Linked DNA regions of Drosophila melanogaster. The protein of the gene in region 2 interacts with the protein of the main gene of each other region in a pairwise test. Each region holds a gene or a part of one and is shown on either strand. Other genes may lie near its edges.

Region 1 (7,815 bases), on a different chromosome or scaffold from region 2:
CGCAACCGTGCTTAACTTCCTGGGGCAGTACGTCAAGCTAAGCGAGGGCCAATACCGCAGCGGCTCCACTGCCAACTATCGCTACATGCAGGTCTAGGCTATATGTAGGAACACTTTGTGATAATATTGCAAAACATCATCAAATGGTAAATGCAAATTGCTTTTCAAGCTTCAAGCGCTTTAAGATTAGAGATCGCCTAGAAACCCAAATACTTCCTCGCAACAGGACACAATTTTACACGGATCTACTACTAGAAGTACCTTTTTGAGGGAACTATGCTTCCCGTCCAATTGATTTTTCTTTGTTAAGTAGCGTGTAGGTTTTTACTAGCATCTAACTAGAATACAGATAATATCCGGATATGTGATATGTAGTCCTTAGACAAACTAGAGTAACGAGCATAGCGCACAACGATATCTAATCGATTTTCAACTTCAACTCTGACTCTTGTAACTAGTAGGCCATACGAATTTTAAGCTAATCGAATAATAAAATCAATCTAATTGCCTTACAACATCAGCCTTGCAATCACAATTAATCCCATTGGCTTACTTGGCCCACCTTTATTTTATTCGCTGTTTATTTGTGGGCCAAATTAGTTGCCGTTTACAAATTGGCCCTAATGGCTGGCATGGCTGCGAAGGAATCCCGTCATAAATCGACTTTTCTGCTTATTTTACCGATTCGTTTGGGCTATTTTTAAACGAATTTAATTTTAAATGTTCGCCATTATAAATAAATCACAATTTCGATCGAAAAAGTTCGCAAGGAACCAATAAAAAACATTGGTTTTTCGAAATTTTCCTACGCTTTTCGGCGGAAAATCGCTGTGTTTGCGGGTCAATAATTGGGTAATTAAAGTTACACGTGCGATCAGACAGTGAAAATATTCTAGGGTATTGTCGGTACCAGAATTTCCCACGCATGCCCATTAACAGCGGCACGAACAACAATAACAATAACAGCGGCTGAATCCGTTGGCAACACCCACGACCCAACATTTGTTTGACATACACTGAAAGAAAAAACTGATTTATTGCGAAATAATGATCTAAGGCGTACATGAATTATATATTGGAACTAATATTTTCATAAATAAATGGGATCGGTTTTATTAAATAGTATATACCAAATATATCGTAATTTGATATTTACTTATTAAGCATTTGTTTATAATATGTATGCACTTAGAGGAATTTCACGATGATATTATGCAGAACCACTTAAAGATTATATTGTCATGAATTATACACTCTACATATTTATGTTCATTTTCAATGCTCCAAAGGTAGTTGGATTGTTATATTGAAATCATTTTCGTCTGAAAATTCCTTGCAGTGTACGCAAACGATGATCGTTTTGGGCTTGGTCGCGTCTCGTTAGTTAGTGGACACATATTTATGTGACTGATCACAGGCGCAGATCGCTGCAGACAACGCAGTACAAAAAGTGTCGGCGCGGCGGCCACAGCACCATCCGTTCTAAAAAAAGAGTCCCATTGGTCGCGTGTCCCAATCTCTCGGGATTCGAATTCGAATCCATCGCAAATCCATTAGTGTGTGTGTGTGTTCCGAATTGGCCAAGATTGCGGACCCAGAGGATATCAGTGAAAATCCGCTCGCTGTAAGTGCGCAGGATTTGTAGGCACGTAGATTTCGCTAACCGTTTTGGCTTTCGTTTGGCACTGCACCTGCTTTTTGCCCAGTTAGAGTTCCGCTTTTTCGTTTGCCCCTCGACCTTGGGCACTTTTCACGCTTCGTTTGGCCGCCAGTCGTGTGTTTGTCTATCGATGATATCACGGCTGGGTCATTAAGACCCGGTTAAGTGCGACATTTCTGTTTGCCTTCCGCCGATAACTAACTTAAGTTGCTAAACGCCGTTCCCAGAGTCATTAACACCCCGTTAAAGTCCAGGGCAAATCACGGGATCCGCCACTGGGCTCCCAGCAAAGTTTCATAATATTTATCTGGCACGATCATAACATGCATACGCGATGTACTACAAACATCTATATTATATCTGTACATATATGGTTTAAAAATAAACATTGTAAATATTTACATTGGAAATCTATAAAGAGCAACTCGCCGATTTCTCACCATAATTCTCTTGCTAGCCGTTCACACGGTTTTGGCCAAAGGCTTATTACCCCGTTTTCCTTTTTCCATTTTCCTTTAGAGAAATAGTAATAAATGCTTTCAATAAATAAATAACTCATAACATATCTGTGTCTGGCTGCCGCTTTCATGTTTATGAGCTGATAATGAGCTCGTAAACAGTCCAATTCCGGTTGTCTCTGCTTAGAAGCCATCCGAACTGAAGCGATCTTGATGGAAACGGCGATCCCTGGATGCTCTTGTTCCCTGTCATCGGGGGGTAAAGTCATCCACTGATAATGCCAATGATCGATAAGGAGTTCAGTAACAGCTTCGAAACAGTTGTGCAATTTTTAAATACACATAAAAAACCAAATGAAACGTGAGGCTACAGTAAAACTTCTCTAAAAGCAACTATATCTCCTTAAAATTAAACATATTTCAATATATAGAGACGATGTATCTTTAAAATTTAGCTTGCACTGTGAGTGAACTTTAGGATTAACGAATGTTTGAGCAGCTGTGCTCAGCAATTCAATTCAATTCGAGTGTTATTTTAACCTTTAAGCTTCAGCTTTTTTTGACCCCACACGGCGTATGAGCAATGTGTCACTTTTGGACAGCTCACCTGAACAATCTGAGCGATCCGCGACAGCTGCCTAATTAAAATTATCGAAGATTCCGCAGCTTCGTCGCCGTCTGCCAGCGCTTTTTGAGTGCAGCCAACGGGGCGGATTGTCGATCGGTAAAAATAGCTCATACGCAATGTGGGCACACGAACGCACTGGCACTTCTTTCTTGTCATCTCATGTGCAGCCGGGTTGAATGACTCGCGACTAAATATAACACTTGCCGTTTGCCCCGGTTTATGTAATAGCCATTCAAGTGTTGATCTAAGCCAATGCAGGCGACATCGGAATTGGATGTTTTTGAGATCGCTTCGCCCTGCTCATTAGGCGCATTGATAAACAGATAAACAGATATGGGGAAACGTGTTTGGTCAAGTGTTTTTTTTTTTCTATTCATACGCTTCTGATGGCACAGTTCTTTCTGTAGAAAAACGCATACACTCATTGAAAAATCGCCGCGCCAGAAGATCTACATTTTATGCCGGCTGTAGCCGTCCGTTGACAAAGAGCGAACGAGCATCGAAATCGATGAAAATAAATCAAAAAAAAAAAAAAAAAGAAAAAAACGCAGATGAACAAATGGCAATCCCAGAACGAGGCGAGATTTCAAAATTTTTGGTTCAAAAAAAAAAAAATAAAACTGGCAAGAGCGGGAATACCGCTCTCAACTTTTCTCTCGCCAACTTGTTTTTGGCTTTCGCTTTTTTTTGGCAGCATTTTGATCGTTGGAGCGCCGTAGAATACTCAATATTGTTTGGGATTCCGTGGCGAGACGATCGTTGAAAAAGTCGCGCGCGCTGCTAAAATAAATTCAAGCGCTATATTATTAGGCAAACAAAAAGGAACACACATCATTATAATCCCCTTAAAAGTTAAGATATAAATACGCAGGCGACGAGGGGAAATACGAAATACAAAGTAAACACATTTTATTGCTGGATAATTTTACTGTGCCCAGTGACAAGAGTGCTAACACATTTAATACACATTCAAGTGCTGGCAAATAGAGCCGAAACTGGGCCAAAGTTGATTTGAAACCAAATATTACTCATACGCCACCGGCACCGCATTCATTCCCCCACCTAAGCTATCACTTCTTGAATGAGCCCAATGAGCGGACTGCGCCAACAGCTAAAGGTGAGTACTATGCTTATTTTCTTATCGATAGGATAACCCGATCTTCATGAGCCCTAATTCCCAGATGATCTTGAGTCTTTAGCCCAAAACCTGCTTGCATTTGCATAAATATTTACCTAATCGCTTTTCAATGGTGGCAACAAATTTCATTCTCCGTCTGGCAGACACTAAAGCTGCCTTCGTTGTATACACAATTTGTTTTTATTTCGTTTATGATGAGCAAATATTAAATCCCTCTCTCGCCTACCGGCTATAAATAATTTTAATAACAATATTGGTACTACATTCGCCTGTCAGGGTCGCCAAGGTACATTTAAATTGGCAGATCGTATTTGTTAGTTGTCAAATATTTAGATTAACCCATTACGCAGAGCGCGAATAAATATTGCAACAGGTTTATTGTCTGCTAGCAATTAATGTTAAACAAAATGATATACGAAGTACGACACTTAATTGCTTAAGAGCTATATGGTAGCGGGTTTCTTGGAAACCTTTTATTTTAAGATGGAAAAAATGCATACTTATAATATTATTTTGAATTGTCGAATATTAAATTTCTGTATGCTGGCCAAAGTGTTTCTCGGAAAGTATATTTCCAATAGGAGCTCAACAAACTTGCCCAAATCGAGTGGAACCGTCGGCTATATTTTATTCAGATCTGAACAGACGATAATTAATTTGAAAGCGTATGTGCGCGACTCACATAAAGTTGCTCCACAAGAGTGCATTCATTTTTTCCTAAGTCATAAAATGCGTCGCTGTCGCAGCCCATAACTTTGTAGCCAAAACACATCATTAAAAAGTACAGACGAGCGTCCATAAAAGGCATATAGGTATATGAGTATAGATATAGATGTATATATCTGGAAAATCGACTTTTGCGGAGGGGCATCATAATGGTTTCTTAATGTGCCCGTTCTGGATTTTTGGCGTACAAAATGCGCTTCAGTGCTTTTGAAGGCATTAAAAACGTGATTGTTTATAGACGTATGTGTATCTACTTGGCCAATATAAACACTAGCGATTATTAACTTTTTTCCTACCTTTCATACTTGTATATTTTAATATGATGTGAGCCCACTATGCTCGCTTTTGTTTGAGGTCCAACGTTTGATACTTGTTTATTCGAATTCACTAATTGACGACACAAAGTTTATTTCATATATCGTAGATTTATACAAACAAGCCGCAAATTTATGATGTTGGCACAGCTTTGTGGAGCATAACAAATTTTCGGAAATTCCTGAACAAGTGTCAACGAAAAATGCCATTAAACGAGCTTTATAACGCCGATTCTGCGCAAATTTATTAATTTGTTTACATTGTATGGTTCTTGGCACGTGAGCAATGCCACCTCTGCATTTATTATCTCGCTTTAAGCCCATAAAGCAGCAGTTGGCTAAGGTAACTAACCTCGGACAAGGTTTTACATGGTTGCCATGTGGGCCATGTGAACATCATCCACACTAAACTTATGAACTTTATGTAGGATTACAAACAGAAATAAAAGCCTATTCCGTAGGAAAACAATGCGTGATTCATGCAACCTTTAGATTGTCTAAATTAACTAACCAAATGTTTATATTCAACACCAATTAATATATATTAGGTCATGCTTTAATTGAAGTGTAATCAACTTCTCCCATCTGCACACAATTTAAATGAATTTGAAATCAGCATTGTTTGTGAAAATGGAAATACTGGAATATTCGGATATATTTGCGTAAACACTTTCACCGCATTTGCTGGTTCATTTTTGCAATTAATCAAAAATAGTTGAAATGCTTGCCATTCAGTACGTAATTTAGAAATAAATTGGGAAATAAATAAATGGTAGGCACGAACACTCTGGCCAGCCCCCTGCCAAGATTCCTCAGATTTGGTCTAAATGGAGGGGTTGATGCTATCGAATTGGTCTTAAAGAGCCCACTAAATGCATATGCACTTCTTTTTCGCTAACTTGAGATGCTCGGAATTCCTCGAGTGAAAATAGATTGAAAAACAACAAGTGCAAGTGGGTGCTAAAATAAACCAAGAACAACGTAATAAACAAGAATGTCAAAAATAAAAAAACCTTTGGCTAAATGTAAAAATATCCATTTAGCCCATCCGCAAATACCTTTTTGATTTTCCCCGCAGCTGAAGAGTATGCTACACTTTCGTTTACACTTCTGCTAATATTTTCCCTTAGCTCATTGACTTTTACTTAGTATACTCAATGTTTTATTTGCTTTATGTTTTGTTTTACAGATGCTGGGTACAGCATTGCTGGGCAAACGGGCCACCAAGGTAAACACGAAATTATTTCGGATCGATCGGTTTATTTTGACTGGTCGGTATTTATTTGATTTTCACTTTCGTTTCGTTTTTTTTTTTTGCTTTTTCATTTCACAGTCTGTCAAAAAGAAACCATTTACGGAGGTGGAAATCAAAGGTAAGTAACCAAATCAAACCACAAATCAACAGACAAATTGTTTATTTACAAACAAGACGAACAGTGACCTCTGTTCTTCTGCGAAAAACTCAACAAAATATGGGTTAATATACGTGGCTATCTAGTATTTGATTATTCATAATTACAGCCAATTTGTGTGCTAAGATAAGCAGCTAGCTCTGCCATTTCTTGGCCGGGCCCACGCTGCGTATACACAATCTCGTTTTGCACACTATCAGGGTGTCAAAAAATATTTCTTGCGGCCATGGAAAAGTATTCATGTTTGTTGGGTTTTGATATGAATGAAAAAAAAAATGATTAGGCTTCTTTAATACTTCAGATTTCAGATTATACTTTTGGTTAGTGGTTGTTCATGTAAATTTAGCCAGCCAAATTTGCCGACCGCCTTTTGCATGTCAGCCCATTAATTGTTGCACCACTAATTTTAGATATTCTTGGGACAGGTGCACTGTGGCACCTCAAGATGGATGGATCCGCAGTTGTATACAGCACTTTGGCTATTTTTGTATCTTGAATTTCCGTGCCCGCAGAAATGCGGCTTAATCTAATCACGATAGCCATAATCGAGTTGAAATTTAATTAACGCGCCTCTTTTTTTTACGAACGATAGCACAAAGAATGGAATCGCAGTAGACGGGGGTGTAGAGGACGGCAGATAGCTGACACCCCCGCATCACGTGTCCAATTAACGCGAAAATAAAGTTTCCAATGCGGTGAACAAAATATATAAAGTGGAGCAGTAACGAAATACCTGCCATAAGGCTTTTAATTTTGGCTCTGCGATTTTTGCAGCCAAAAGTGTTTACCACCGAAAGACGAATCAGATAAGATGCTGATCCCACACCATTCAAGTGACACATTTTTCCCCGGCTGACAAGCCAAACAAGTCATATTTAAATCGGCGCCAGGCACTTTCATTTGACATTGCCTTCAGCTGTTGATCTCCGGCAAATATTTGGCCTTAAAGTGGAAAACGCAGCAGGGAATCATATGGAGTATGAGTCATTTTATGAGAAAAGCGGACAGTATTTATATTGTAGAAAGAAGATATTGCTTTATATTATGTTCATCGATGCATTGCAGCTACTTTAAACTATGCTACTATCTAAGTGACACCTGTTGAGCTACTAGTACTACCCAAGTACCTCACAGATACTTTTGGGGCTAAGGCTCACTCAGAGTGTCCGTTAATCAGAGAACTGAAATCAAGATAATGCAAGCAATCCGAGTGAGAGTAAATACGATTACGACATATAGACTAGTACTTAATGAAATCAGACAACCCATCCCAGATACCCAGATACCCAGATACCCATTTACCCATCGCCCATAGAACAATCCACCCACCCAGCAGATTTGGGCACTGCCATCCGGCTGATAAGTCGCTCGGTTATCTGCGGGGAGCGGCGGGTGCTATCACCCAAATGAAATATAATACAATATAGCAAAAGTCGGTTGGGTTCTGGTTAGTTCGTTTCACTTCAGGCCATTATCTTG
Region 2 (10,883 bases):
TTGGCCCCAAACAAAGAGGCGAAGACCGCGGCTGGGGGAAAATTGTATAAATGAAAACTAAATATTTACTTTGGGCCCTTGTTATTGCTGCCAACTGACAGCAGGAAAACAAAGAAAATTGAGAAAAGGTTTTCCCGGCGCTTATCTATGAGCGCTGAGCGCCCAAATAAGTAAGTCAATAAATCAATTCAATAAAATTTCTGCTGCCTTTTTATATTTGAAGTTTTTGGCTCCGGTTTTTTTTTTGCCAAATCCCAAGCAAACAAATGTGAGCGCAAAAAACTTTCGGCCTGGCAAATGTTTGGCACTCAGAAGGGAAAACAATGAAATGGTGCAGAGGGGCTCGGGAAAGGGTCAAAGGTTAAGAGGGAACGAAGGCTTGGACCAGAAAGATACATAAGCACTGATAGCTGAAAAGTTTATCAATTTGTAAAACGACAGCCGCAGACATAAGGAGTTTTCCCCCCGGAAAAGTGTGGGAGCAATTTTTCCGAGCTGAGCCGTTCGTTTTGAAGAAAAGAGCTTTTCGTCGGGGTTTCTGAATCTGCTGAGCTTTCCACACGGACATTCGCCCCAATTTATTTGCTTTGAAATCAATGCAAATAATTAATTTAAATTAAGTGCTGGCCCGGAGGAAGTGTTTGCTTTGGTGCTTCCTTCTGCCAGCCATCGAATAGCCCACAAATCGGCCATCATTCACACATAACCCCATGCCTGTGGTCACATAACTCAAATGAATTGTTTATACAGCGCCAGAAACTAAACAGCAACAGCAACAGCAACAATTGCGATTGCGATTGCCGAAAAAGTTGAAACAATGAATGAAATGTTTGCGTTGCGTGTCAATATTATCTTTTTATTTCACTGCCGTTTTGTTTATGTGCAAAAAGAGAGAGGAAGCGCCGTTTGGCTTTCTGCGTGCGAGCATAAAAAACATTGTTTTATAAATACTCGGCCAGTGCGCGGCTATTGCTATTTTGGCACTTCTATTTTGGCCATGTCCAACGCAGAAAATGTATATCAGCCCGAAGACTAAGTGACATGCCGACATGACGAAACGGGTGTTCAAAGTGTCAGGCGCGAAATCTGTTGAAATGCGAACAACTTGACTCAACTTGACTGGCAAATTATTTAGCAAATCCCCAGCGTTTGCTCTAGCCATGGCGATCGGCTAGTCTCTAATTTAGATAATCTTGAGGTGAATCAATTGCGGGTGTCGGCCACTTAATCTCGGCCAGCTGACCGCAGTTGCCTCGCCTCCTAATTGCGCCTAAAATGCGCTGCCAACGGCATTTTGGGGCTATTTAAATAGCCGCAGATCGGAAACACAAGGTTTTGATGTAAAGGGAAGAGCAGTACGATGGTTGGTTAACTTAATCGTATGTATTTGCAATAACTCTAATTTGCAAACAACTATTCCACGCACTCAGTGTTTAAACAATAAAGTAGAGTAGTAAACCATACTTAAATACCTATTTAAATGCCAGCACAAACGTATGATATTTTTGAAACATATTAGTGATTGAAAATATATAGTGACACTTATTGAGCTCTTCTATTCCTCGGCGACACTTTCGAAAGTTAAATACCCCGTATTGCCATTGGATACCCCAAGAAGGATGGGGGGCTGGACTGGGCTGAGCTGTCAGCGCTTTTGCCAAAATTTCGCGTTGGGAATGCAATGCTCTCATCGGTCCGCCCATCGCACCCCGCCGCACCCCTTACTGAGCACTTACAGCCCCCTCGAATCCAATCCCACCCACTGGTTAGCACCGGAAAGTATTTCTTTCTAGTCTGCGGCGGTCGTGTGACTCGCTTTTGTCTCTCTGCGACTTGCGAATACGCGGGGGCGTCCAAGTAAAATCGTCTCCGCTCTTTGCCAAATCGAAAATCCAAGTGCCATCGATGCGCATTTGGCTGGCAGCGGGTGCATTGGCATTGCAATGGATTCCGATTCGGAGATTCCGAATGTGATTCCGAGTGCCCGAAATCGGGCGATCCATCCTTCCCAGCATATATTATGGAACTGTCTGTCTGTCGAGCGATATAGCGCTTCCCCAGCCAAATCGTACTACATATCAATTGACCATCGCGACAAACAACATTGACGGGGCAAAACACACATATTGTTTGTGGCTGTGTTTTTTATGTGGCCATCCCCATCCCCACACAGATAGTTGCGCAAATATTGCCACGCTTCGCATAAAAGTTGCATGAAATCGGTTCCACCAGCGAAGCATTCAAATGAAAAGCAGAACCGCGAATGCGCTATCAAAATATATATAAAAATCAACTTACTATACTATATTGAATGTACTACCCAAAAAACTGTATTTATTTAAATTTAAATCGTTAGATAAAAGCTTTTGATTTCTTATGTTTTTTAATTTTTTTTTTTTAATCAAATATAAATCTTATCCGAACCGAAACACCCCCTTTTAATTGTAGATCGCATATATTTTTGCACGAGGCGCGCACAAAGTCAAGACTATAATTATAGCGACACCCACCTATTGGCGCCCAATTTCTGGCAAACACACACTCGCGCTCAATCACACACAAACACACACACTCGGACGCACGCACACACAATCAATATCACGGTCAAGTTGAAAATCATTGAGAGCGGATGTGGACATGGAATGGGGCATGGAGGTGGAAATGAGGATGAGGATAGAGATGGGGATGGGGGTGGACATATCACAGATGTGTAAATGTCTGTGAAGGTCGAGCAGTCAGTCGCCCAGTCGACGATCGCAGAAGGGCAGTGATACGAAGAAGAGACCAGAGTGCGTGTGTGACATTAACCCAATAAAATAAACAAATAGATGGAACCCTACGAGAGCGTGGTGTATTCTTATTTATATTTTCATTTTCGGCGGAGAGTGGGAGTCAAGGGCGTGAGATCGGCCGATCACAGCCGATCTTCTTCGGGCTTTCAAATTGGGTCTTCTGAATGCCAAACGATGCCAGCGAATTTCGCTCAGTTTCGAGGAAAATCGCGTCGCGCCAACTTGGGAAATGCGTTGCGTCGTGTCCCGTGAAAATCATCGCGACTAAGGCCCCGAGAATCCCCAAAGGATTAGCCCGAAAATAATAACAATAATCGCAAGCGGCAAACGGCGAACTGCAAACAAAGTGTGACCAAAGTGATATATGTGTGTGCCTGTCTGGCCGTCTCTTCGCAAATCCATTGCTATTTTCGTTGTCGCTCGCTTTGTGGGCAATTAGCACAAAGTGTCGAGCAATTTTCCGTCTCAATTGAAGTGCTGCTTACCCTTTGCCAAAAGCATCCGTTAAACAATGTGATGACTTAATGAAAAGTTAATACGTCTCTGAATAATTGCAGCAAATTGAAATATTAATTGTTCAACATTTGTTTCGTGTGCGCTGCGGGCGAAAGTTGTCTCTATCTCGCTATATTGGCATTGCCTGGCTAAAAATACAAGAAAGTCCACAGCTATACAAATTATAACAACAAGTTTTATTTATTGCCTAAATATATTTGTGTGTTTTGTGCGCTTCTGTGTTGGTGTCTCGTCGTCCATAAAGACGCTAGGCAAAGGCGTATAATTATCTAAATTCCTGTGTTAGTAACACTTTCAGCACCAGCAAACAGTCAAGCCATTAAAAAATATATATCGAGCTAAGGCATCGCAAAAATCAGCACCAACAGAACGCAGAAAAATTAATAAAAAAAAATAAAAAATTTAACAAAAAGCAGGGGCCGAATAAATAATCAAGCATCATGTCGGCGACCTCCACGCGAAGTTCGGTGACGAGGAAATCATCGCTATCAAAAAGTTCTAGTTCAGACAAATCGGCAAAGTCCTCGTCGAATTCCTCGAAATCTCCGACAGCCGCCAGTGGAAACAAACAGAAAATGCAGTACACAAAAACCAGGGAGCGCATGGTCGATGGTAATGATCTCTACTCTCTATAAGCACTACGGACCCCAATCAAGCATTATCCCAAGCACGATTCCCTACTGCGATTGTATCTTTAATGACATGCGATCATGCTTCAATGGCATTCCAATGTGCTGACCGCCGTCATTAATGTCAAAACTGAGGGTTTCACAAATTATTTCCTTTGAACATTTCAGTCGGCGGAGGCAAGCGTTTCGAAAAGTGTGTTTTGAGAATTGGGAAGTCATGCTTGTAATTTTCAAAACAATAGCATGGCTGCACCTTCTCGAGGAGCAGTACATCGATCGTTAAGTTTTCATGTTTAAAAACTAATAAATGGACTTTTGAAATGGAAACAAACATAGAAAGGAAAACATTTTATAGCTCATGTAAATTTATCTAATTTCAAAAAATGTTCTTTGAGCAAGTTTCAATCGATTTATTTTACAGACCATTTTACAATGCATAATTGCTTATTATGCGCATTATTTATACATAAATAATTTACAGATTTTTAATAACCCATATATTCCGATGCAACTGCCATAAATGTGCTTTTATTAATCAATTATTCGGCATCGTAACTTAAAACCCTTAACTGAAAATGCGGTACTCGCTTTTGTTCTTTGGTTTATTGAGTCCATAAAAATTAATTTAATTATCTTCGAGCACCCATAACAAGCAACAACTGCAGTACATTGGCATTTTATTGGCCATTGCGTCAAAATTCAAGACATTTACCCAAATTATGACAATTAAAAATGGCGTTCGCCCTGACGTTTCGATGTGTGTGTGTGTTCGATTACGTTTGTTTGTTTTGTGTGTGCCAATCAATTTTCGACTTTTATATTCACTCAGTCAAATTTTGTAATTAGCGTACGAATCTCATGTGGCTGCATCTGGCGGAATTTCGGTTTTCTTTATAGCCGGGCCAAGAAAAGCGGCCAAACCGAATGAATATTGGCGCTAAGTTGCAGCACCTCGTTAACCCACATCGCCGTCGGACAGCGATGTTTATTATAATTCTATCAATGCAAGACTACACCGAAAAAAATTCAGGGGAACTGTAACAATACGAGAAACCCCATTTTCAAAGAGATGTTCCATTCACGTCATATAAGATACAAGATACAATATATAATTAACAATTGAATCCAGGGGCTTCTTCTTCTGGAAATGGGTGATAACAATTTACTTAATAATCTTTACTTAATAATTTGATTAATTTCTTTGTTACTCCCCTAGATGTTCCACTTCCGCCCACCCACAAGCTGACCATGTCGGAGGTATACGACGATCCGAAGACCGGAAAACCCAACTTCGACGCCCTGCGCCAGCACTTTCTGCTGGAGGGGCGGATCGAGGAGGCGGTGGCCCTGAGGATCATCACCGAAGGAGCCGCCCTGCTGCGCGAGGAGAAGAACATGATCGACGTGGAGGCACCCATTACCGTGTGCGGTGACATCCACGGGCAGTTCTTCGATCTCGTAAAGCTCTTCGAAGTGGGCGGCCCGCCGGCCACCACTAGGTACCTTTTTCTAGGCGACTACGTGGACAGGGGATACTTCAGTATTGAGGTGGGTCCATATGAAAATTGTATCTTAACTTATCAGGAATATATACTGCGTTTTCCATTTTTGTATTAAACGGTCCACTTAATTTCAGTGCGTTCTCTACCTGTGGTCCCTGAAAATAACCTACCCCACCACGCTTTCCCTGCTGCGAGGAAATCACGAGTGCAGGCATCTCACAGAGTACTTTACCTTCAAGCAGGAATGTAAGTTGGACTTAACTGAAGTTAATGCCAGAATTTGCTAGTTATGAGAAAGTTGATTTGTTTCCCGTTGATATAGATAAACTACAAAATGAGCAAACCTGCATGCCTCAGTCACTTTACGAACTTAATGCGCTTTTAAGTGCGAATATGCATGCTATAAATCTCCTTCCGTCGCTAATTCATTAATTTTTCTCTGTTGAAGGCATCATCAAGTATTCGGAAAGTATTTACGACGCCTGCATGGAAGCGTTCGACTGCCTGCCCCTCGCCGCCCTCCTCAACCAGCAGTTCCTCTGTATTCACGGCGGTCTGTCGCCCGAGATTTTCACACTCGACGACATCAAGACGGTAATAAAGCAGCGCTGAAATGTTTACAATATAATGCATCTGTGCGGATTTTCTCAGCTGAATCGCTTCAGGGAACCACCGGCCTACGGGCCCATGTGCGACCTGCTCTGGTCCGATCCTCTGGAGGACTTTGGCAACGAGAAGACCAACGAGTTCTTCTCGCACAACTCGGTGCGCGGGTGCTCCTACTTCTTCAGCTACTCGGCCTGCTGTGAGTTTCTGCAGAAGAACAACCTGCTGTCGATAGTCAGGGCGCACGAGGCGCAGGATGCGGGGTAGGATCGGAAGTACCATGGTGTAATATCCATATGATTATCGAACTCCTTCCGCTTCAGGTATCGCATGTATCGGAAGAACCAGGTTACGGGCTTCCCCTCGCTGATCACCATATTCTCCGCCCCCAATTATCTGGATGTTTACAATAACAAGGTATGAGATAGTTCCACCTCTCTCCCTCTGCTCACCCTGCTCACCCTATCTCTTTCTGGGTTGTTTATTTATCTTGCTGTTGTTGTTCCTGACTTTGCTATTTTTAAATAACGAAATCTTTTTTTGGCTGCATTGCGAGCTGGTGCGAGTTTAAATCGCGCTGCGTTCGCAATACCCTCTCTTCCATCTCTTTCTCCGGCACTCGCCCCGTCTCTTTCTCCGCTCGCGCTGATTTTGTCAACCATCGAACCCATTTGACAAAAGGCAGCTGTGCTCAAGTACGAGAACAACGTGATGAATATCCGCCAGTTCAACTGCTCGCCACATCCCTACTGGCTACCCAACTTCATGGACGTCTTCACATGGTCGCTGCCCTTCGTGGGCGAAAAGGTGGGTTCGCACCCAATCGGGTGGGATTATCTATGTATTTTGAGTTCAGTGATGGAACTAAGCCATAATACTCGAACTAGAACTTTCAAAAGTGTCTGAAATCTTTATACGTGATTTTAATATCCAATTTACCATGCCATTCAAAGGTAACCGAGATGCTAGTCAACATCCTGAACATTTGCTCAGACGATGAACTGGTGGCCGGACCCGATGACGAGCTCGAGGAAGGTAAGTTTGGGGATCCACAGAGCGATTCTGTCCGTACTAGACTGTGTGTCAATGTCGCAGTGCTTTGGATGTTGTGGGGCCAATACGGATACACGTGAATTACAAACTAATCTTCTATTAAAAATATTTTCCGAAACCAAATATCGAAATACGACAACTGCAATCTACTACCAACACCCATAATAATTTCTGTACCAACACCACCACCAACTTTCCACTCAAAACACGTCCAAAACACGACCAAAAGAGCTACGCAAGAAAATTGTGCTCGTGCCGGCGAACGCGAGCAATAATAACAATAACAATAATACGCCCAGTAAGCCAGGTAAGCCAGGTATTAAACGCAGGCCCAAAGTGAAGCCAAACAGTACCGCCAATGCAAATGCCACTGCCATTGCCACTCCCACTGCCAAAAATAAAAATGCCTGAGCCAACGAAAATCGCCTGAGCGAAGATAGCGAAAAGCTTAGTTATTGCCTTGCGCCCTGCTTTGATCGGCTTTTCAGCGAGTTTTCCAGCTGATTACCATTACATTTACCCCGTGACCCCGCGAGATTCCGTCTAATCGAGCCCTCAATTCGCAGCTTCCATGTCGGCGCTGCGCAAAGAGATAATTCGGAATAAGATTCGGGCCATTGGCAAGATGTCGCGCGTCTTCTCCATCCTCAGGTGCATAATGCCTCCTATAATCCCGTGGATTCAGCTAAATAATTCAATATTCCCACATCCCGCAGGGAGGAATCCGAGAGCGTGCTCCAGCTGAAGGGTCTGACGCCCACGGGCGCCCTGCCAGTGGGCGCTTTGTCCGGCGGAAGGGATTCCCTCAAGGAGGGTAAGTCAACACACATAGGTATTCTCAGGATCAAATTGATGTAATGCGTGTAGGGACTTTGAATTATAACATATGCCTTATAAATTAATCAGGATATAGTTCCGTACACTTTGACCACAGCCCTCCTTATGTCGTAGGCCATCCAATTTGTTTCGTATAGGTAATCCCCTTCAGGAACGGGAAGGACCTTTGTCACCTGGTGATTAACGAAGTGTATGGGTAGTTTTTCGATCACGAGATCGTGCTGTATAGAAAACCAGAAACATAAGCACAGATCGGATTTAATTAGGGATATACGCACATCGTAGGGGCAGTTGTGATTCATGTTGGTGAAGGGCCTAATGAAATCATAAAGGTAACTGGCTATCGGGTTCGACTTTGTGTTGTTCATGAATCTACATGCATCCAATGTGATATTGAACATGAAAGGTCTATAGCCATTATATCCATTAAATCGTTTGAGAATTACTCCGTTGATCTGAGAAGAGTAATTGTAGAAGAGAAAATGTTGTTAACCAAATTATTTAAATACCTTGACTTTGGTAATTGGCGTTTTAAATAATTTTGCTTTGATCGACACATACTTGTAGCTACGATTAACCGACTTTATGTAGCAATACTCAAAGTCGGAAAACTGTTTATCCAAAGAATTGCACATGATATTTGTGAACTCAAATTTCGATGATATCTGAGGAAGATTTTGAATTGATTCGTATTATACCTAATATTTTAATAACTCTTACCTCAACTATTGAAATTGAAAGAGCCAAAAGCGCCACTAAACCACAATGATTTACACCCATCTTTCGATATCGACTAACCAGTGTAAGTTGTTTACAGAACCCTATTAATATTCTATTGAATCAGCAACATAAAAACAATTTACAAAGCAATTAATAGCTCCACCAAGCCAGAAAATCATAATGAACCCACATTATAATGAGTTTAGTATAGTTTTTGTTATCAAAAAAAATAGTTTTTAGTGTCTACTAAAATACTTTCACCACAACTCAGTCGATGTCGTAGGCAATCCAGTGGGTTACCAGTTGGTAGGCTCCTTCGGAAAAGGGCAACTCCTTTGTTCCTTAATGGTTTACAAAGCCAATTTCCAGTTTCTCCACAATCAAATCGTGCTAGAATCGATCAATTTCGAGTTAGCCAACACAAAGTGTTAGGACCTACTCACACCTGCAGGCATCCACTGTGACATTGAACATGAATGGCTTATAGCCGTTGTAGCGCTTGAAAAGAATGGCTCGATTAAATCTAAAAGGAAGACTAGTTAAAAGCCATTACAATTCGATTTGTAGCGAGTTTTAATCTAGATGTTTGCTTGAATATGGTTTAATTATTTGCCTATCGCGGCCAATTAAACAGTGCTGATCGCAGACCAGCCATCGTTTTTATACCCGTTACTCATAGAGTGAAAGTGTTTCTCTGGCAGGAGATAATATAAATTCTTGATCAGGATCAATAGCCGAGTCGATCTGACCCTGTCCGTATGTCCGTCCGTCCGTATGAACGTTAATATCTCAGGAACTATAAAGGAAGGTTGAGATTAAGCATAATCTAAAAACCGAATATAACCCGTCCACAACATGGCATATAATCGGGGTAGTCGGCTATAGCATGCTGTCTTGTTACTAGATAACTAAGTAATAAACCTTCCTGATTAGTTTAATCGAAACTTTTTGCCAAGACACTGCCACGCCGATTATTAATTGAGCTGTTTCCCATCCCCGTCCGACTCTATGAACCCTCAGCTCTGCAAGGACTGACCGCATCCTCGCACATCCACTCCTTTGCGGAGGCCAAGGGCCTGGATGCGGTCAACGAACGGATGCCGCCCCGTCGTCCTCTTTTGATGAGTGCCAGCAGCAGCAGCATCACCACGGTCACAAGGAGCAGCAGCAGCAGCAGCAACAACAACAACAATAACAGCAACACCAGCAGCACCACGACGACAAAGGACATCAGCAACACCAGCAGTAATGATACCGCAACCGTAACCAAAACGAGCAGGACGACTGTGAAATCGGCCACCACCAGTAATGTGCGGGCAGGATTCACCGCCAAGAAGTTCCCATAGGGGGTGAAGCACTTGCCTGCTCAACACTGATTTCTATCATTTTCGTTTCGACCTTCTGTTACCCATTTAAGTTTACACCTCGTTAGGGTAAGGTCAGACGTGGCCATAAATTAACGCAAACTGTTGCCACATTCTAATTTCGACACAAAGTTCTGATAACTTCTCATATGAGATAGATAAACATGATACTAGGACACTAGCTTGCGCCAATTTATTTCAGTGCCTGACCTTAGCTGTAGTTAAAATTTTATACAACAACTTTCTCTAATGCTAGTCATAAACCAACAAATTGCACCCTGCGATTGCTGAGCTTTCGATTGCAGGTGCATACTTATAGAATCTCTCCGCAAAAACTCCCGGGCGATATTAGCAAAAATTTATAAGTGACATGAAAAACAGTTTAATAAAAGGTGGCTACAAATAGCTAAACAAATGAGTGCTTGATACTTCTTTTGTCTATCTAGTTTTTGAGAAGGGAAAAAATAAAATAACTTAAAGCAGAGACTATGTGTTTTACCTTGGCTTGAACGGATAAGTATGGGTTTAATCTAAAAATTGCTGTACCCAGCTATGTACTTTAGGTGCACTTCAACTTCACATCGCTTGAGCTCTCTAGTCAAGCGTAAAAATCAGCACGACCCGATGTAATAATAATTAACTAAATGCAAACAGAGGGGAATGAACGGGTCCAAAAAGCGCGTCACTTGCAGTGGAAGTTTCCCCATTCCCCATATTCTATTCCAATTTATCTGTTTGGGCATAAAGATAGCCCGGCGGAGCAGATTAAGATTTACAACGCTCTGTATGTCGACCATCTATCATCACCATCCCCAATGCTTTTCTATTACCACGTTTATGGTGTACGATTTCACGATTAATGGA
Region 3 (6,717 bases), on a different chromosome or scaffold from region 2:
ATAATGAGTTCCCTAAAATTCTGTAAATTTGTAATTTTTAAACATTAGCCTAAAATGTACTTGATTCTAAAATCATTTACAATATCATTCGGTTATATTACTCTTTCGTAACGCAAAAAAAGAGAACGCACATAACAAATTATTGAATACTTTTATTGTACTATTACGGTCGTTTTATTGCTAAAAGTATTGCATTTCAATTTACGTGACGGTGTGTACAGAATTAACTTTATAAATTGTTGAAACTCAACAAAGCAATACTATATTCTGTAATTTCCGAATATTTCTATTGGAGCTATCCAATCCGTATATTGAAAAAATCACTTTCGCAAATAGGATGTTTAGGAGTATACATATAAAGTACAGATTCTACAGATAATAAGAAAATAATATTTAAAATAAGTATAATTCTCGGACATGTAACGGTGCGTTCAGGCCAGGGTGACCAGTTCGTCGTGGCGACTATCGGTATTCTGGGCGAGCAAGTCAGCGGGCACACTGCGCTGCTGTGTCAAAACGAAACTGGAAAAAATCTGATTGAGTTTTCAGCGGACTTGGATCAATCCTTCCAATCCCCAAGAAATCGGGAGCAGACGGCCAGGATGACGTCGCGCAACCTGACGGAGGTGTTCGTCATCATGCGCAACAATGCGTCCAAGAACCGGAATCACTACGACGATCGGGTGAGTGCGTCTCCGTCTGGGGTCTTCACTGTTATCATCAACTAACATATGTTTTGCGTTTCTCCGTCTTCCAGAGGGGCAGCGATGCGGAGCGCCTTCTAAAGCACTCGGTGCGCGAGGCGGAGGAGGGACTGGAGCTGCAGGACGACTACGGCACGCCGCCCGCCTGGCTGGACAAGTTCGAGGAGGCGCAGTACACCATGTCTAAGTGGGTAAACAAACAGTAGTCCATGCGCAGGGTTCAACTTCACTCCCATCACTCGTTTGCAGGATCAAGCCTAAGCTGGATGAACTGGGCTCCCTGCACGCACGCCACCTCCTGCGACCCGCCTTCGATGATCAGCGGGACGACGAGTGCGACATCGAGGTGCTCAGCCAAATCGTCTCCAAGCTGATCACCTCCACGCACCGGCACATCCAGTGCGTGCGCAGCAGCATCGGCGTGGGCAGCAAGATGGAGCAGTGCCTGACGGTCAACGCGGTACACTGCGCCCTGCTCCAGCTGCAGGAGCTGACGGTGAAGTTCCGTGCCAGCCAGAATGCCTACCTGCTTCAGCTGAACTCCCGCGAGGAGCGCTCGCAGAAGTACTTCGACGACGGCGGCGGCGCTGGCGCTGGAGACGTCTTCACAAACGTGGAGCTGGGCGAGCAGAGCGCCGAGAACTTCGTCGACTCCTTCGACAACTTTCTGCAGCCGCCGGCGGAGGGCAAGTCCGGCAACGGCTATCTGTTCGAGGACGACGAGCAGGCCATCGACGATCACTTCCAAAGGCCGCCGGCCAGCCGGATGACCCAACAGCAGCTGCTGCTCTTCGAGGAGGAGAACACGCGGGTGGCGCAGCACCGCGAGCAGGAGGTGACCAAGATAGTCAAGTCCATCTACGACCTGAACGACATCTTCAAGGACCTGGGCCACATGGTCCAGGAGCAGGGCACTGTGCTCGACCGCATCGACTACAACGTGGAGCAGACGCAGACGCGCGTCTCGGAGGGATTGCGCCAGCTGCACAAGGCGGAAATGTATCAGCGCAAGAACCGCAAGATGTGCGTCATTCTCGTCCTGGCGGCGGTCACATTCTTCATGCTGCTGCTGCTCATCCTGACCAAGCTCTAGTTGCCCACGCGCCTCCAGTGGGCCGACCTCATTCCCGTCATTCGCTGTGTGTGTTTGTGTATATTGTAAATGTTTGAATACATGTTATTATATTTATTATTTATTGCTAATGCTAAAAAAAAAACCGCAACTACTCCCTCTCAAGTCGAACTCCACTCCAGTCCAGTCCACTCCAGTCCGCTCTCCCAATCACATGCGCTCCGAGAGGCGCGAGGCGACTGCCCGCAGGTTGCCATACACCTTGCTGGGCGGCGAGCCGAGGATTAGGTTGCAGACGGCCCGGCGCGCAAGCTGAATGTTCTGGTAGCTGCCCAGGATGTGGATCTTGCTATCGGCTAGCACGATGCGGGTCTTGGTCACGTTCTCGATGGTGAATTTGGTGCGGCCGCCCTTGCCGGCGAGGCGGCCGATGGCGCGAGACTGGTGGTCGCCGCGCAGCGTCTTCACGTCCTTGATTTCGAACGACTCGACGAACAGGTCCTCCAGACGCAGCAGGGCCAGGGCGTCGTCCACCTCGAAGCCGCAGAGAAAGGCGCGCACGAAGTCGGCGCCGCGCTGCAGGTTGGCTATGTCCGGCGTCTCGGGGCCCACACGCAGCTCCACCTGGCGCGCCTTCATGTTGAAGCGGATCTGCAGCTTCATGTGCTCCACCACGGGCGTAAAGATCTTCATCCAGTGCTCCTTGAGCGAGGAGTACCTGTGTGGCGGCACGGATACCTTGCGCAGCTCGCTTCTGGCCCGCTTTGCCTTGGGCGGCGCCGATGCTCGCGAAGATCCCAGCACCTGGCCCTCAATGCCGGTCGCCTCGTCCACCTGCATCTCCACGTCCTGCTGCCCGCCTCCGCTGGCTCCGCGCTTCGTCGCTCTCTTCGCCGGCTCGAATGCGTCTGCTCTGATGTTCTCTGCCTCCATGGTGCAATCTGTTGTGCTTTTACTGCGTTGTTTCCAATAATTTCTCAATCCAGCTGCTTTGTCTGCTCCACGTGCTCAGTGTGACCGCGCTCGAATCTGAGATTTCAAATACATCTGTAGCTGAATACCACACCACTGAATTTCGACGAAAATACCAATGCGTATGTACAATTCTACACTGGCTAAAAAGTATGTAGAATGTAGAATTCCGAAATATAATACGCCTGAATTCTTGATAAGAAACATCATTGGATTTGAAGGCTGATTGAAGTGCGAATTCATATTTGATCACTCATTGAATTATTGCTGTTTCAAAAGTAATAATTCAAGTACAGCCTAAAGCTATAAGGTGACGTCACTGTCATATAGAACAACACAATGTAAATTCTCAAAAGATGGCAAAGGGTACCGAAAGGAATAATGGTTTCTGTTAGGCCCATATATATGTATATATATACTGTTATATATATACTGTTAATATATAATAACAGTATATATGTACATATATACTTAATCTTAATTTTGGAATCATATTCAGATAACTGTTAATCAGCTACAGACGAGTGGGATAAATATAATTTAAATATATCATAATAATTTTATAATATATATAATATAATTAAATATAAATCATTTTTGCATAATTATTAAATGCAACCCTTTCATTTTCAATCAATCAAAAGGTAGCCTATTTTTGACATTTGGTTTGCTTTGGTCCCTATTGAATTCAGTTCACATCTAGAACCCGTACCGGAGAAACCATTTCCATGTCACAACGGAACTTCAAGATGCCAAATCCGAACAACGAATCCCATTCCTATTTCCTCCGGAATATTCCGGAAGAATTGCAGCCTCAGTTTACGCGTGGATTCAATCAGTGGATGGGCAATCAGTCTACGATGACTAAGGGTTTGCCATCCAATACAGTGAATAAGTCTGCCCAGACGGCATCTGTCAATGATGGCAACTTGCAAGCTAGCGTGATCGCAATGCTGGCAGGAATGGACTCGATCTTGGACATGGAGCAGCCTAACAGAAGTCCTTCGCGCGAAGAGCACGAGCGCCTAAATGAGCTGTTGTTCAGCAGCAATTTGCTGTGAGTTGAAGTAATTCGTGGTGAGAGTCCTGACATAAAGTTCATAGTTTCATTAGCATGCTGGACGTAAAGAAGCGAACGTTTCCCGTGGAGGACCCAACTGGGTATTTAACTTCGGTTTCAGAGCAAAATCCAGATGGGAATCCGTTGGCTAAGCGACTAAAGCTAGAGCGTCCTCAGGGCTGGTAAACAAGTCTCACGAGGAATTACCTTCATTCTACACATATTCAATCATACATATCTTTTCAGACACTAATGACCAATGTCTCTTCCTCAGAGTCTCTCAACCATACAGGACATTAACGAACCATTAAATAAATCACTATAAAAATAAATCACAAAATAGTTCAGAAGAGCCGTTTTATTTTACCAGTTAAGGTCGGTAATTGAAAGAGTTTCGCAAAAGAGGCACGCAAAAAGGTATACATACATAGCTCATACACCTTTAGCTTAGTAATGGGTATCCGATAGTCGATGGTCGACGTGGAGTATGTGCATATGTATATGTGACTTTTTAATATATAAATATACATATATGTATGTGTTGTGTGAATATAAATTCGTTTATAATTGGGGAACGGCATTAGAATGCGAAAAGGTAATATTATTAAGTGAATTTAATGTCAAAAAGGAAACCATGAGTGTCCTGCGTGGCATAGCAGCTAGCTTTTAGGCCTGTGCTCGCCAATCGTTATCGAAAGATGGCAATCGAGTAAGCGGGTAAATTGAAGTTTAGCCGCAGGCGGGTATTAGGTTTTCAGATTAATGGTGGTCAGCGTAGGCGGCGCTCCTCTCGCAGCCATTAAAAGTTTCTGGGGATGCAATGGGACTTACTTTTGCATCAACCGCAGCGATAAGAAGGCCATTGCAATGCCTCCTATTGGCCTGCACTTGAAGCAAAGTTAAGTAAGCCAAAGTGGAGTTAAGTAAAGTTAAGAGCGAGTAATGCGGCCACCGCAGGCAGGCGATAATCTCAAGCTTGCAATTGCACTGGCAATTTGTTTGTTATCTTCTCCGTTTCCGGTTCCCCACGCCCTTTCTCGTATTTCTTCTCTTCCACCTCCTGACCCTTTTCCGGCCTCTTGGGAAACTTTTCCATGAGCATGAGCTATTTGAATAAGTACACTGGACAAAACTTGCTTAAGAACTACGGAGTATTGAAGATGCAATTTATATATATATAAAACATACATACTTAGCATCTGCTATCTATTCGGATATTGCAGACTCCATTGAGATCCAGTTTCTATTATCTAAATATTTTTTTTTTTTTTGTTTTGGGGTTATTCAACACACTGATGTGGTTTGAATATTTCAAAACTTGGTACGTTGAAGTGTTTATTTTCTTTGTAAAAATCTTGATTTTGATACAAACTTACAAATGGTTATAGTAAGAAGTGGATTAACCAGAAACTTTTCGAGTCAGTTAACGATGCACGTTTTAAAAAATAATTGTGTATAGCATCAGAATTTACCTACTCCTTTCATTTCGATCGGTGTCCAAATTGTTGATACACTTATCTGGGCATTTAGGCATTTGAAACTGGGACTGCATATATCCGCCAACCAGCTGAGCTCAGTTCCTTCTTTTTTTAACAGTGCAAGGAATTCGTGGGCGATATGAGTGCAAATTGCGTTGGCTTTCATTTGGCATGCACTCATTTGGGTTATCTGCTCGCCCACTTAATAAGCTTAATGACTCTCGAAGCCGTTGGCTGCACATGATTTTGCCAGCAAAATCGCCTAAAAGCGCTCGCCGCTCGAGTTGCGCCACGCCCACTTCAGCCGCACCGCCCACCTCGGAGATCCTTGGTAGCCTTGGTAGCTCCGAAAACGACGACGAGCGCGAGATGAAAACGCGAATACACGCGCAAGGGCCTCAAAGGTTTTGAACGAATTGCACCAAAGTTATAATTAGTTGAGCTTAGATTCGGGCCAGGACCTCAAAGGCGAGCATGTATCCTGCGTCAGCCACACGGGAAGTAAATCAACAACAGCTACGCCCAAACTGAAGTACATATTTCGCAATTAGGCCGCGATACTGCCGGTCTGTTCGACATTGATTTGGTCAAACGCAGATGTGCATTGATGGCTACGACCGCAGTTTGACTTTGACTTAAGTGTATGCACATTTGGCCAGCAAAAGTCATATATACATACATATGTTTGTACCTTTTTAATACTCCGTGCCTGAGTCGCAGTCGCAGTCGCACCCTTGTTTCGCCAGGATAAGCCGCTTAAGCGTCGCCTATTGCGGCTCCTTCTTTCCGCTGCCACTTTGCTGGCCATTAGTATAAGGTCCTGCGACACAAGGTGATGCTGCCCCGACTATTTGCCAAATCCTATCACTTTTGGTCCAAATCCTTGCGGCTCGAAAGAAACTGAGGCGATGTGCAGAACAAAAACAGTGTCATCCTGCAGCGGTATAATGGACAGACACTAACACGGGCATCATTAGCTGAATAACCATATTTATATATTCACCGTCCCATTTGCGGGTAGTTCATTGTGGCTTCTCAGGTTGAAATGAAAAACGTTCCATGTCTTGGGCCGGATCATGGGAACTGGACAGTCCAGATTTTCAAAGAGGCAACTGGCTTTCAGCACCCAAAACACATTGTTGCCACCTTCATTGCGGGTAAATACGTTGCTAGTTCCTCGAACTCGGTGTAAGACAAGCTTGGTCGGGCCAAGTCTGCAATTCGACATGATTGCTCCCAAACATCTCGCCCTTCCCAACAAAACTATAATATAAGATGGATTCGTGGAGGGAGCGTCGCGGGCCTCAATCGGAGACGTGCTCCTCCATCCGTCGCGTCCAGCTCATTTGGCGCTCGGCTAATCGCGAAAAGCACACATCGATTACGGGGCACGGCTCGGAGGCGGGGATGGGCGGGGCTCGAACAAAAAAA

Evidence for each region. Proteins that work in one complex are often made in the same cells at the same time.
Region 1: the proteins of CanA1 (region 2) and Eip63F-1 interact in a two-hybrid assay, tested with the Drosophila melanogaster proteins (one large-scale study listed by BioGRID).
Region 3: the proteins of CanA1 (region 2) and l(1)G0004 interact in a two-hybrid assay, tested with the Drosophila melanogaster proteins (one large-scale study listed by BioGRID).

Annotation. Positions count from the first base shown.
Region 1 is NT_037436.4:3,929,295-3,937,109, reverse strand, and holds the start of Eip63F-1 (Ecdysone-induced protein 63F 1), read left to right. Parts: upstream 1-3,472; 5' UTR 3,473-3,827; coding exon 3,828-3,863; intron 3,864-6,113; coding exon 6,114-6,152; intron 6,153-6,257; coding exon 6,258-6,297; intron 6,298-7,815. Other genes in the region: CG10866 (uncharacterized protein), read left to right, coding at 1-97.
Region 2 is NT_033777.3:31,036,391-31,047,273, forward strand, and holds CanA1 (calcineurin A1), read left to right. Parts: upstream 1-2,983; 5' UTR 2,984-3,158; exon of another isoform or gene 3,159-3,594; 5' UTR 3,595-3,748; coding exon 3,749-3,920; intron 3,921-5,153; coding exon 5,154-5,485; intron 5,486-5,573; coding exon 5,574-5,685; intron 5,686-5,887; coding exon 5,888-6,033; intron 6,034-6,090; coding exon 6,091-6,308; intron 6,309-6,368; coding exon 6,369-6,462; intron 6,463-6,726; coding exon 6,727-6,852; intron 6,853-6,998; coding exon 6,999-7,080; intron 7,081-7,327; coding exon 7,328-7,405; intron 7,406-7,664; coding exon 7,665-7,749; intron 7,750-7,814; coding exon 7,815-7,912; intron 7,913-8,000; coding exon of another isoform or gene 8,001-8,156; intron 8,157-8,213; coding exon of another isoform or gene 8,214-8,390; intron 8,391-8,450; coding exon of another isoform or gene 8,451-8,600; intron 8,601-8,655; coding exon of another isoform or gene 8,656-8,715; intron 8,716-8,904; exon of another isoform or gene 8,905-9,171; intron 9,172-9,675; coding exon 9,676-10,001; 3' UTR 10,002-10,431; downstream 10,432-10,883. Other genes in the region: CG33920 (uncharacterized protein), read right to left, coding at 8,001-8,156, 8,214-8,390, 8,451-8,600, 8,656-8,715. UniProt on the Drosophila melanogaster protein: Calcium-dependent, calmodulin-stimulated protein phosphatase which plays an essential role in the transduction of intracellular Ca(2+)-mediated signals. Many of the substrates contain a PxIxIT motif and/or a LxVP motif.
Region 3 is NC_004354.4:20,387,528-20,394,244, reverse strand, and holds l(1)G0004 (lethal (1) G0004), read right to left. Parts: upstream 2,799-6,717; 5' UTR 2,710-2,798; coding exon 1,987-2,709; 3' UTR 1,844-1,986; downstream 1-1,843. Other genes in the region: Syx16 (syntaxin 16), read left to right, coding at 603-683, 758-891, 954-1,797; jb (jean-baptiste), read left to right, coding at 3,477-3,805, 3,862-3,990, 4,055-4,055.